2 linked regions of the Styela clava genome follow. The protein of the gene in region 1 interacts with the protein of each later gene in a pairwise test. Links are inferred from orthologs where the notes say so. Each region holds a gene or a part of one and is shown in the gene's direction. Other genes may lie near its edges. The genes, in order: alpha-adducin-like and protein lin-7 homolog C-like.

What was found.
Region 2: the proteins of alpha-adducin-like (region 1) and protein lin-7 homolog C-like interact in a two-hybrid assay, tested with the Caenorhabditis elegans proteins (3 studies listed by BioGRID). The link is inferred for Styela clava from reciprocal best matches to the Caenorhabditis elegans genes add-1 and lin-7.

What each region holds. Positions count from the first base shown.
Region 1 is NC_135258.1:23,366,796-23,373,958, reverse strand, and holds the start of alpha-adducin-like, read left to right. Parts: upstream 1-4,034; 5' UTR 4,035-4,137; coding exon 4,138-4,182; intron 4,183-5,461; coding exon 5,462-5,611; intron 5,612-6,010; coding exon 6,011-6,137; intron 6,138-6,826; coding exon 6,827-6,853; intron 6,854-7,163. UniProt on the Caenorhabditis elegans protein: Membrane-cytoskeleton-associated protein that promotes the assembly of the spectrin-actin network. Plays a role in time-dependent memmory loss and the retention of conditioned behavior over time.
Region 2 is NC_135263.1:5,072,359-5,078,612, forward strand, and holds protein lin-7 homolog C-like, read left to right. Parts: upstream 1-4,717; 5' UTR 4,718-4,841; coding exon 4,842-5,438; 3' UTR 5,439-5,633; downstream 5,634-6,254. Other genes in the region: uncharacterized protein LOC120340926, read right to left, coding at 787-1,042.

The sequences.
Region 1 (7,163 bases):
GCATCCTGTTTTAACCCAAGATCTTCCATACGTCGGCAGAAGAGAGAAATTTCGTGAGTTAGTCGCCTAAGGTTCGCTGGATTACGAGAGGTCTTATATAAAGGTTTTATTTGCTCGTATTGCTTGATTACTTCACGTTGAACTACTGATTTAGGAATACGCTCTTCCAGGCGTTCCCATACACTTGAAATTGATTTACAGTCACATATCATTGTTTGATAATCGTTTGGCATTGCACCATTGCGTAACAGTCATGAAATTTGCACTAAATCATCCGTAATTCTTGCATGGTGCATTATATGTGTAAAACGTTCTTTCCAGGTATAAAAGTCTACTTTTTGTCCGTTCCAGCATGGCGGATGCATACCACATAACTTAATCATAGGAGGATCATTATTATAATTGTTTTGAGTGGTTACAAGAGATGATATCTCCGGCTTTATATCTAGTTTGTCTTCATATTTCTCAAAATCGATTGCAATCTTGTTTTCCACACGTAAAATTTCTTCACTAAATTTGGATATAACGGGTTTTTCCTCACTTTGTGTAGTACTGTCTTCTTCAATTAGAGCCAATTCCATAGTATCAATTAGACAGACCAAAAATGCTATTTTATCGTTAGCATCATGAAACAGTATTTTGACCTTTTCAAAATCTCTTCTTTCCAGAGAGTGCTCAAATCGTGTTAAAATTCTTTCCAAATTTACTTTTGAGTACCGGAAACTTACTCTTGAGTTGTTTGAAATTCTGACCTTGAAAATATTCTGACATTGTTAGTTGGCATTCTTGCTTTGATGTATTGCTGAATCCTCGAAAGGTTGAAGAAGAACTGCTTGATTCAGACTCCAGTTTGTAGGTGTAGGTGCAGTATCATTAAATGTCACTAGTTTGGATTTCTGCCCATTGACAAATCACCCTTGCCTACTATGTCTCTTTAACTAATATCCCAAAATGAAACGAATAGATTTCTCCCAAAGTGATTTAATCCAGATATCAGTAAGACAAAGTGACCTGACAAACAATAAAGATGAATATTAAAATGAGTACAGGCAACCAGGCACAATACAAAGCAAGAATATACCAATTCACTTACATTTAAATGAGGCTTTGTCAGAACAGATTATCCCAATGTAAGGAACTTATGAAATAGATTATTCATACCCAATGACTATAGCACCATTAACAAGCTTATGAGAACAGATCTAAAGACAGACTAAAGCTCTAGACAGTTAACCATAACAAGAAGTAATCAAGTAATCAGCCAATAATCGCGATGCAGTGAACTATACGTAAACACACCAAAAGTAAGTAGTACCAAGATAAATCAGTCAAATGTTCAAACCAGGCGGGCATTTTAAGTCGTTACGCGGGACGTAATTGCCCCACTGTTTGGGAACCCCTGATCTACACTGATAAATATGCCATATATATTCTATATAATTAATTAAATACAACCGAGTTGGGAATTACAGAATGGAATCGCACCTCAAAATTAGTTGGGGTGTTTGAAAAATAGGGTGTGTGTGTGTGTGTGTGTTCACCCCCTATAGCGGGGGGAGGGGGGTGTAAGGAAATCGCTGCATGGACTTGATGGTGGAGGATGTTTTAGCATGGTGCTACTGATACCGCAATACATGCATAGCAATCGGTTACACGTTGACGGAAATAGAGATGTTTTCGGAAGACCGACAAATCGATACAGATTAAGGAACATACGGTACCCTACCTCAATCAAAGTTAGGATGCGACAAAAACAAGTTCTAGTATGTAGGCTATACAAGCTAATTTCAAGCGCGGAAGCGAGGATCGTCGATTCGAGTTACCGGTACTGAATTCTGGAATTATAGGACAGTATAAGCAAGTCACAGCAGTTCAGGCAATCTTGGACATTTTTAATATATTATATGACATTATAATTTATCATGTTCTTATTGATAGAATTCACTGCAATAAGGTGGATAGGTAGGAACGCTTCTAAAACAATAACCGGTACCGTACCGGTACGTGGTACCGTACCGGTATGGGGTCTGGTACGGTACCGGTATAGTTTAGTACCCACATGCACTTCTAGTTGGCCTGGCTCAACTATTTTTGCATATGTCAATCCTAACCTCTACCTGACTACGTCACCGAAAAATTAGGTCATTTCGACGTCACAGTGGCGTAATAAGGCCCACCAAAGCATGCGGAAGGTAGTCCAAAACGCGCAGACGATCATCCGAAATCGAGCAAGCTATTTCTCTCGTTTTTTCGTCACAACGATCCCGATAGGAGAGAGATCGCCGACGTTAAGCGAGTTCGTTATCAGCGGCGCAGATGCCATTTCGGGCGATCGTAATTATACTTTGACAAGCCCTATGACGTGATGATGACGTCGTAGTGACGTAATTTTTGGATGGCATACGGTAGTCAGGTGGGGGTTAGGAATAGCATATGCAAAATTCGTTATGCTATGCCCACTGGAAGTACGGTACTTGTGGTAGACTACCGGTACCAAACTATACTAGACCCCCAGGCATGCAGGTACAGAGGTATGCTCGTAAACTAAGTTGTACTTGTTACCCATTCAGGCTGGCTGCATTGAATTGAAGACTAATTACAGAATTAATTGTCCTGACTGCGACTGACCTTCAAAAATAATTTCTCATGTTATGTCTGATACAGATGTAGAAAGCACTATGAGAATAAATTGTGAGAAAGTTTGGCTATAGGTCAAGCAATAAGCTCACGGTACTACGGTATCTGATTATGGTACAATCTGACAATAGACAGATAGAATGGGAAGATCATTTGGCGCGGCAGTGTGGCTCAACGGGCTAAGCGTTAGGAATACGCTCGCCACCACACCTCTAATTGATCTGCGTGGGTTCGCATCCCATGCAGGGATGGTTATGTGCGAGAGGATTGCTGGACTCCTCGCCGTCGTTGGGTGGTTCACATAACCGCTGAACTTCTAACTATTATACATGTGTCCATCTGCCCATTCACGAAGTACATTGTTAATGCTGAATATCTTTTGCTCTTTATACCTAACAGTCGGTTACGGCTTCCTCCACCACCAAGTCCATGATTCCGAAAACAAACAATCTAACTAATCCCATACCCGACTTGGAATGGTAACCGGACGAGAGGTCGTGGTTCGCCATATGGATAAGCCATCTTATTGGCTTTCCTCTCCCCCCCCCCCCCGGGATAAATATGTAAATCCTATCCTATCATTGATAACCTGTTTACAGTACGGAATGTCTGAATGTGTATGGAAACTATTCACTGCAACAATACTACAATATGGCACTGTTCTCCGATTCCAAGAATGGCCCCAACATTAAAATACATTAATTATAATAGTGAGTGCAAACTCTTCCTTCACTAGATACAAACAGGCATTGCACAACAAAACAAAAACACAATTTTGGTCATGTGCCTGCGACGCAGATCACAAAAGATTTAATTTATTTTCGAGACAGCGTGGCACAATCTCATGTTGTGCCAAGCGTCCTAGTTTCAGACACAAATAGAGTGTTTGTTTCATTGAACCAAATGTCAGAATGTTGGGACATCTTGGAATCGGAAAACTGTGCCCTATTGTACTATGGGAAATAATCTAAATTTTTTATGACGTATTCATCCTTGAATGCGGTACATAAAAAAGAATCGTAGACAGATACGATATTAATTCATGCTGAGAATGATAAATTTCTAATTGATAAAATTGGTAAGTGAACATTTGGTTTCTTTCTATAGTAAACAATTTGATTTGAAATCCATCTGCTTAATTGTCATTAAATGTGATCATATTACTGTATTATGAAAAGAATGAAATGAACTGTATGTATTCAAATAAAATATAACCAGAAACATAGACAATTTCGTGGCTCGCATGAGGATGGCACATCTTATCAATACAGTAATATGTAATAAGTTTCATCCAAATCAAATGTGCAATGTAGTGTGACTTTTGTTGGGTTATTCAGACTCTTTCGCTAATTGATATAATGCACCCATTCATTTTCGCTTGCTAACTTTTTAAACAGTTTTTTGTAGTGCACGATGCGTGGCAAGTAGTATTTAATGTACTCATTTTGAAATTTAATGTGTCTAGTTATCTGAAAATTATCAGTTCGAAATATCAATTAAATGGCGATGAAAAGTCCTACAAGAACCAAGCAATCTCATAGAGAGGTATTTATTGGATTTTTCTTTGGTCTGACCTATAGTTAAAATATGGTATCTGAGTAGTGGATCATAAAACTTGAAATTTGTTTTAGTGAGGCATGAGTGCTTTTCTCTTAATACAGTAATAATATGAATTGTTAATGAATGGCCTTTGGGGGGTTGTCAGTTGTAAACAAAATCAATAGAAGTACTTGTGATACTAAACTACACTAGACCCCATAATTTAATATATTTCAGTGGCAGAGTACCGTATATGCTCGTTTTTTTAGGGCCCGTTTGAAAAGCCGCCCATGTGAACAGAACATAAAAATAAATAAGGGCCGGTGCTTGAATGTAAAAGCTGATTTTTCAGTGGTAGAGAATGAGAATGAGTGGTAGAGATGTAAAAGCTGATTTTTCAGTGGTAGAGAACAATAGGAAATAAGAAGCGCTTTTGTCACAACGCTGTTGAATTTTAAGCACCTGTAGATAACACTCACGCCTTAGGCGTCCAAGTACATAACAGATAGCATTGATTACGTAACACCATGGTTCTCAAACTGGGCGTCGCGACGCCCAAGTGCGTCGTTTCAATATTGATAGGGCGTCACAAGACTTTTCTTCTTTTGCGGATTTGTACCTGCGGTGCGTAGAAAAAGTCAAAATTTTCATTATTCTCGTTTGAATCATACTGGAACTGGAAATAACAATGTATTAATTATTGTAACGATCGAAAATAACGAGCGCCCGTCTTGAATAAGGGCCGGTTTGGATAAGGGCCCGGTTAGTGAGTTGGTTGAAAAAAATACGGGCCCGGGCTACAAAACGAGCAAATACGGTATGTTTGTTTTCATGATTTACAAATCTTGAAAGGGTGGCACTTGTCATGTTTGTTTACTCAATTTATAAAGTTTTGATAAGTACTGAACTATATGTGTATGTGAAGAATTCAAAATATAACACTCAGTGATGACCCACATGAAGTGTAGGCTACTCAATATAGTGAATGCTCGACTCAGTGATAATTTAGAACAGTGGTTTCGAACCTTTCAAGAAATAAATTCGAGGAAATCTTACAACCCTTGGTATTATCAAATAGTATTGAATGGCATGTAGTGCTTCTATGGCCAGCTTCGTCCCCGATCCAAGCTGGAACAATAAATTAGTAAATTAATTATTTCTGCTGTATCCAAGAAAATGGCCACCAGACGAAGGATCATGGTTCGCCATGTGATTGAGTCAGCTTAACTGCTTTTGTCTCCCCTAGAATAAATATAAACGAATGGTTTTCTATTCCTATTCAAAGATGCTTGATCCTCAGTCTCCAGGAAGTCATTCAGGTGTTGATATCGAAGCTGAGCTGGGAATACATCCTGTTAGAAGGCCAACAGGAATTGATCAAGATGTCAATGAGCTAGGACAGCAGAAACGAGTTTCATCTGTATTAACTAGTCCGGTAAATTTACTTATTTTTAGTTGCTATGTGACCTTTATTTTGTATCAAATTGTAGTGAAGATAACTTAGTTTCTTGTGATAATCTATATTTTATTCAAGTTTTTTAGTTTGTTTGGGTTTATTTTTTATTAAAGAGCTAACATCGGAGTTTTCATTCAAGTCTTTAATGTGCAATCCATTCTCATTTTGTTTCTCTTTTAAGTATTATTATACAAGATCCAACTATGAAATCAAAGTAATATAGATTGAGGGTTAAGTTTTTTAGATATATATGGTTTTCGCTTAATTTACGCATGATCTCACGATTATGACTTTGTAAATGTTAACAGTGAATATTCATAGCGAGTGTCAATATTAGCTCACGTAATAATTGAACTGTGTTATAATTTTCTTCAATAGGTGTTCAAAGAAGAACTTGAAACTGTAGTGACTGACTTATTGCGTTCTGGTGATGGTGGAGGTCACGTAATTGCCAAGGAAATTGCAAATATGTTGTCGCCGATGAGCAGATCTCAATATAGTCTGGGTAATTTATTTAATTATATATCAGTTCATGCATGGTTTTAGCCATTAGGGCTATTGCTGTTAGTGCTTCTTGATGCTATGTCATCCAATCCTGCCTTGATATATAAACCAAGAAATTTTTCGATATCTCTATTAAAGGAAAGATTGATTAACAATAGTATTTCCCAGAAAAAGACTAACAAATATTAACAGCTATACTGACTGCTTTCTATTTGTAATTGTTATTTTAGCATACTTTTAAAACATCCTAAATTGAAACTACAAAATATTATTCTGCTTAAAACATAATTTGTCTTACAAAATCTTTTGTACCGCTCAGTCTCGGCTCACTATTTTTAATGGTCGTGCAATAAAAACTCCCCTTCTAAAACACAGTTGGGTATTGCACAGGCGCTAATAAGCAGGCTTTCCTCCATGCCAGTTTAGAATTTAGATGTTTTGCAAGTTGTTACATCACTACTAAGTTTATTATTCAGTTTCTTTATTGGAGTAAATTTTGTTCAACTTGCTTTGTAAAACCAATTCCTAATATGTTTTATGATTAAACGCAGTGTTTGAACCGGTGCTGCTATGCATTACATATTTACAATATTTAAAGTTTATGTTCTTTGCTCAGCTGTTCTGCTAGTAATTGTTGGTATAAATCAATCTATTCGAAGTTTTCACTTGTTTCTTCTATTACTTGTACAGGTGATGGAGTTTTCAATATGAAAACAGGTGACAATGATATTGTGTCATGTCATAATTTATTGCAATTTTGGGTTTTGCTTGCTCCAGCATTGCTATAGTAACTGGCTGTAGTATATATATTATATATTCACATAATTAAATAGTTCGATCAGTTATGTTCAATTGCATGCTCGATTCAATCAGAAGATATTAATAATAGTAACACTATTGTTAATTTTCAATGTCGTAAATAATAAATATTTGTAATACATCATAGTTCATGTAACTTGTTCCACATCCTCTTGTTAATCCAACAAGGTACAGTGCAATGTCAAACTTTGGTTCTCTGATCCTACGT
Region 2 (6,254 bases), on another chromosome or scaffold:
GGCTATTTGGGCCGTGAACACCTTCGCGTCGATATTCATTTTTCCAATATCACAAATTTCCATCAACATATGCATGTCTTATTTTGGTTCTTACACGGAATGGTGAATTTGTTGTGAAAAACCAGTCATTATATTATAATCATCGGCGACGAGATGCTAAAGCTAATAAAGTAGTAAATGATTGAAAAGCGGCATTGTAAACTACTAAAACAACTAAAACACAATAAGTTCTGTTTTAGGAGACCCGCTCCAAATAAAAATGCGGCATTTGAAGTAGCAATGTTTTGTATTTTTAGTCCACGCAACAGCCTGTTACATTGAACACATTAATTAAGCAAGATATTTCAAATTCCCGTATCGGTCGTGGATTGAATACTTTGCGTAATTGCGAATTGTACTTTTTGGGATTGTTTCACACACCTTGAGTTTTTCTTTTAGCGGCGACATCTTGAAAATAATCTTTAGTTGCAGTCAGAATAGCTCAAATCCCAAGGTAGTAAAATTCGAATCCAATCTATTCATAATCGGACATCTTATCGCGTGTTTTATTCTACAGATTGTCGAAGTATTTTATAGTTGGACTTTTATTTTACTGTAAATCGACGCAAAGGCGAGTTACGTTGAACACAATCAAATTAACATAGCAAGACATTTTAAATGTTCGCATCGGCCACGGATTAAATATTTTATGCAACGGCAAAATCGTTATCCGCTCGACCCGATTGATTTTTTTTTACCGAAAATGAAAATATAAACTTTACTTGACAGGTATACTTATGCACTCACCTTGTTTAAATTTGGCCATTTCTGCCTCTAAGTCTTTACTCTGTCCAAGCTTCGATTTACAAGTTATAGGAAATTCATTTCTGTTCATATATCCTTCGATGTCAACTTCATTCAACCCTTTAGGAGTCGGATCGCACTGAGTAATCAAACAGCCTGGTTTAGCAGAACAATGAATGACGGTTTCATCGTCCTGACATATCACAGAAATGAAGAGAATGGAGAAACAAATAATAAATCTCAGAAAAAATTTCTTCATTTCATCCGATATTATATGAAGCCTCTTTTATTGAATCTGTATTGTGGTTCCAAGAAATAAAACATTACAATTTTTTGATATTTTAAAACATTTTCTCGCAACACCAAGCATCATGCACGTACAAACGCATCAGTACTCCTATCAGTGAGACCTATGAATATACGCTTACAGATTGCATTAAGACGATCACTATTTAATAACCTTTGGTAACACAATCTGAAATAGTGGATCTCGTACTTTCATGATCGGTGGCTCGCATTCTAAAGACACCCAACACTCTGGTCTTCCTTTGAAATTAAACACTGTATACTGTCTTCGGCGCTCCCGTAGAATGTGCAACAAGATGGCGGATACCTGAACATAGTATGTGTACCAGGTTAGGGTTAGGCCATAATTTTATTCCAATTTTCTTTAATTTTGTTCTATTACGAGTTCGGAAACTATCCAAGTGACCACACCCTCGTAGTATTTGTAGCTGAAATTACGGCCTAATCCTAACCTGATACACATACTACGTTCCGGTGTCCGCCATCGTGGTTCACATACTACGAGAGTACCTTGTCTTCTTCTATCATATACGATCATGGTATATATTATTCTTATCACCATTCTCCGCCCTCCTTTCCCATTTGTTTGAGAGTACCAATAGGTTAGCTTTTGTGATAGGCTGCCGAATTAGACGGGTATTCGACAAAAGACCGTGTCGCATTACAATGATTACAATTAGTAATCATTCACAGGTAACCATGGTGGACTTTCGACTATTTTGGCCGCACTAATACAGAGTGGTACCTTAAAATTTGCCTTATGGGAAATGATATATGTTATTTCCTTGGTTGAATACAAACTGTAATTCCTGTACGAAGATATGGAAAATTGGTAGTTTTTATTTACTCATATCCTATAGTATAGGTACTTATTTTTAATATAAGTCTTTCATTATTTTAGAATATAGTCGATATAGCCAATTAATGCTCTATAATGCTCGTCTATTTTATACAGTCAACTTTACCTCTGGACATTGTGCACCATAGTAAATATGACAGACCTAATCCTCATGTCTTTGCCGAAATCACTGTACGTTACTCTATTTCTACAAACGAAATAAACCTGAATTTTGCTGAATTGCTGTTCTTGTTGGGGTATTGTTGTCGTGAAATGTCGCTTTTCTTCGTAAGTACTGGGCCAACCGACTTAAGATTTTAAATTTCACGACCTAGAGTTGACTTTCACTCGGCAATCAACATATCTCAATCTCAGTACGAAGCTACATCTTGCAATAGCCTGAAGGATATATTTGAAAGTTTCCTGTATCCGATTACATTAAACTTCGTGGTTAGATTAAAGTTATTTATAAAGGTTGAAGCCGGCTGTTCATAATGTAGAAAGGAATGGCCAAATCATAAAAAAAACATTTGCGTCTGAAAAATCAAATTCTTATACTGTAAAGGCAATTAATCACGTGAAAAATGTATTTGCGACATTCCTCAATCGATTTTATTCGTAATCATACTAATGTATCATCCATAATTTCCCTTATTAGCCAACTATTTACTTCCGTGTTTAGCAAATTATTTTTCGTTTGTAACTTCGTTTTGGTTATTTAGCAATCTTATGCTTTGTATTGGGTAATCCACTCTCCAGTTGTGAATGCTTTTAAATCTTCTTTATACATATTAAATGTTGTAACTGGTAAACATTTATTTTATGATGTTTTAATTCACGTAAATTGAAATTATTAGAACTCTTGTAAACATATGCCCAAAATTCAACTTGAGTAGTTCCAAAACTCCTTCAACTTTACTCGATAACCAAAATCAATAAATATATTTTTTAAAAGGTAATGTTATAATTAGAGCTGGGAATGGTTAACCGGTTAACCGATTTCAGATGGTTAACGGTTATGATTTATTTTAACCGTTAACTGACATCTCGGGTACAAATCATCTTTATACCGTACAATTTCGTTAAATATGATTACGTCATCTCAAATTTATCTCTTGCGGCGTTTAATTTAAAAAAATATTACTAACTGTGTGGGTAAGGACTCAATGAATGTAAAAAATAATGGAAGTACCAAGATTGCTGATAATGAAAATTTACAATGATAAATTCAGAATCAGTTTTTGGTCGATTTCGAAATATATTGTTCACGATTTCATTGCAAAATCGGATATTCAATGTCATACAACAAGTGCGCACTTGATCACGCTTTTCTTTATGAAATATATCTCGAAATAGAATTTGCACATCAAACACTGAAAATTTGTCACATAAATGACGTTTAACAACGGAATCGGGTTTTCTTAAATATTTCCACATGCCCGAACCACGCTGCCTATCTATTGCAGCAGAGGAATCATGAAACTATCTCAATTCGTAAATAATTTTGAGCGATACCGGGATAAAAACACGCGAAATTGCGTTATAACCAATGTGACGTAACAAGCTGAAATTATAATTATTACGTCAAACGTCACGCGGCGGTTAACCGGTTAATTTTAATCGGTTAACTTTAAAGTGTTTTCCCTGAAATTCCCAGCCCTAGTTATAATAGTAAATTCTATGATAATTCATCAAATGAGTAAGGAGCGATTGTCGCAGGAGCGATTGTGGTTGGGGTTGACTTTAATGGGCGAAGGTTCCTATCGCCGCTCCCTACAGTTTATATAGGGATATATATATATATAAAGTGTTGGTTAGGCTACTTTATTCTAGTTGAAATGATGACTGTATTTTGATTGGCTAATAAATCCCTTTTTCTCTCTCTTTTTCACACTCGTTTTCGTGAAGATTCGCCGTCGATAATTTTTTTGCTGAGGAGCATTGAGTTATCCGATTCAGTTATCATTTTCTGTCGTCGGGATTAGCTCACATTTTTGTTCGTCCGACCGGACGATTCAAATAAAACATATTCATTCAGAAAATTTAGGAATAATAGTTTTGAAATTTTACGGTATAAATAGAAATACCACCCTCTTTTTGTCTCTTCAGAAGTCTCGCTTATTTCTGTATATTGTGTAACGGTAATTTCATGAATAGATCAAAATACCAGCAACTCGTATAATGAGGATCGCGAGATGGCAGTGATGAGTTGGAGTACAACAAAACATGACTGTTGCCACAAAATTAGCGTTTATCCATGGGTATATTTTTTAAAATTAGTAAGTTTTTAGGCATTTCGATAAATTTTACTTTCAACATATCTAATAATTATGCAAATTGTGTATTTATTATGTGTCAATTAAAAATGAAATATTTAAGAAATCATTTGTATTGTGTTAGCTAACTTGTTAAATAATCCCCCTTCTTATATTACGATATCTTTGGAACTGTTATGTGTAATCCATCAAATATTTGTTGTAATTAATTAAGGTAAAAATCTATAGCGGCCTTTTTTTTCCTCATGATATCTGAATGTCTTGTCTTAATAGAAATTTTTCTTTTTTTTATGGGTCGGTCGACGTAGTTGACCTTGCAGTCTTGCGGCCCCCTCCCGAATATATTCTATGATTTATTTATTTTTACAGTTATTGAAATTTTACATTTTTTTGATACATTGGGAAAATAAATCATTTTCTCTCTCTCATTTCTGTTTTAGTGAAAATCTATCATCACTAAAAAATCGTCAGCAAGAGAACTCGATGACATCTGACTGGTGACGCAACGACTTGTTTCTCGTCTGGTACGGCAGTCGCTTCCTGACTTTCAGGAGAGGTGTTTATCGTTCGTCTAATTCCGCGACGTTGTTTGTAATTCTTTATTTATTATTATCTAGTTTTAAAATAACTCTATTAAAATGTCAGAACCTTTGACACTCGAGCAAGACATTACAAGGGCGATTGAATTGATCGATAATTTACAAAGTCGAGGGCAGGTTCCATCGGATAAAATCCTAGCGTTGAAAGCCGTTTTGCAAAGTGACTTTTTACACGCTGTTCGTGAAGTCTATGAGCATGTTTATGAAACTGTGGACATTACCGGGAATCCTGAAATAGCTGCAAATGCCACTGCTAAGGCCACAGTTGCTGCTTTTGCAGCCAGCGAAGGACATGCCCACCCGAGAGTTGTAGAATTACCTAAAACAGAGGAAGGACTTGGATTTAATGTCATGGGAGGTAAAGAACAGAACTCTCCAATTTATATTTCTCGTATTATACCCAATGGGGTAGCAGATCGCCATGGTGGCTTAAAACGTGGCGATCAACTTTTATCAGTCAATGGAGAGTCCGTTGAAGACGAATGCCATGAGAAAGCGGTTGACCTTCTCAAAGCTGCCATCGGAAATGTTAAATTAGTTGTTCGATATACTCCTCATGTTCTAGAAGAGATGGAGCAACGATTCGAGCGACTTCGTCTATCCAGAAGGCAACAGCATACCTCAAACTCTGGCTAATTCCATTCAGTTAGTTGTCCAACATATTTTAAGCTGCTAATGTTTTTATTGATGTTTTCTTGATTTTGTTGACTTGATTTTCTATTTGATTATTTGTTATGATATTGTTGATGAGGGTATGGTCTATTTAGCTGTATTTTACAACTCAAAATGCAGAAATTGAAAGATTATGGTTATTCCAAATAGTGTTGCTTCTCGCATATAGAATATTCGAAAACTTGTGTATTCAAAATAAATTTTTCTATTTATTGATATATGCTCAATTTTGCTCAGAAACTTATAAAATATATCAAAATATTGAAATCCAAAATATTACATTGAATTTGAATTTTTCTTCAAACTTTGTTAGACTGAATATGTTTGAAAATTTTTGATTTGATTTGATATAATCTACATTGGTACGATTTGGACTGCTTGGACCACATCAATATGGTATGATTGAAAGAAATTGTGATGAATTTCTAATGCTCTGAAGCTAGTTATTATTTTCTTGAATAGCGTTTAGTTAGATCGTACCAAAGAATTCATACCCACTGAAATTCAGAATTTGCTGAGTAAAACTATTGATCAACTAATAGGGGTAAAGTCAACTTTTAATAAATGCACCAATGCCTTTGTTACTTAAGTATAAGTACCTACCGGTAAGTAACAACTGCATTGGTTCATTTAGTATCAATTGTCAATGGGGGAAACAGTTTTAAATAATCCTATTCATATTGAGAAATCATACTTCATTGATTACCAAGGAAGGAAGGTATGGTTTACCCATTTAGACACTTTATTTATGCTTTTTTTATTCTCTGCACATTGCGAGAA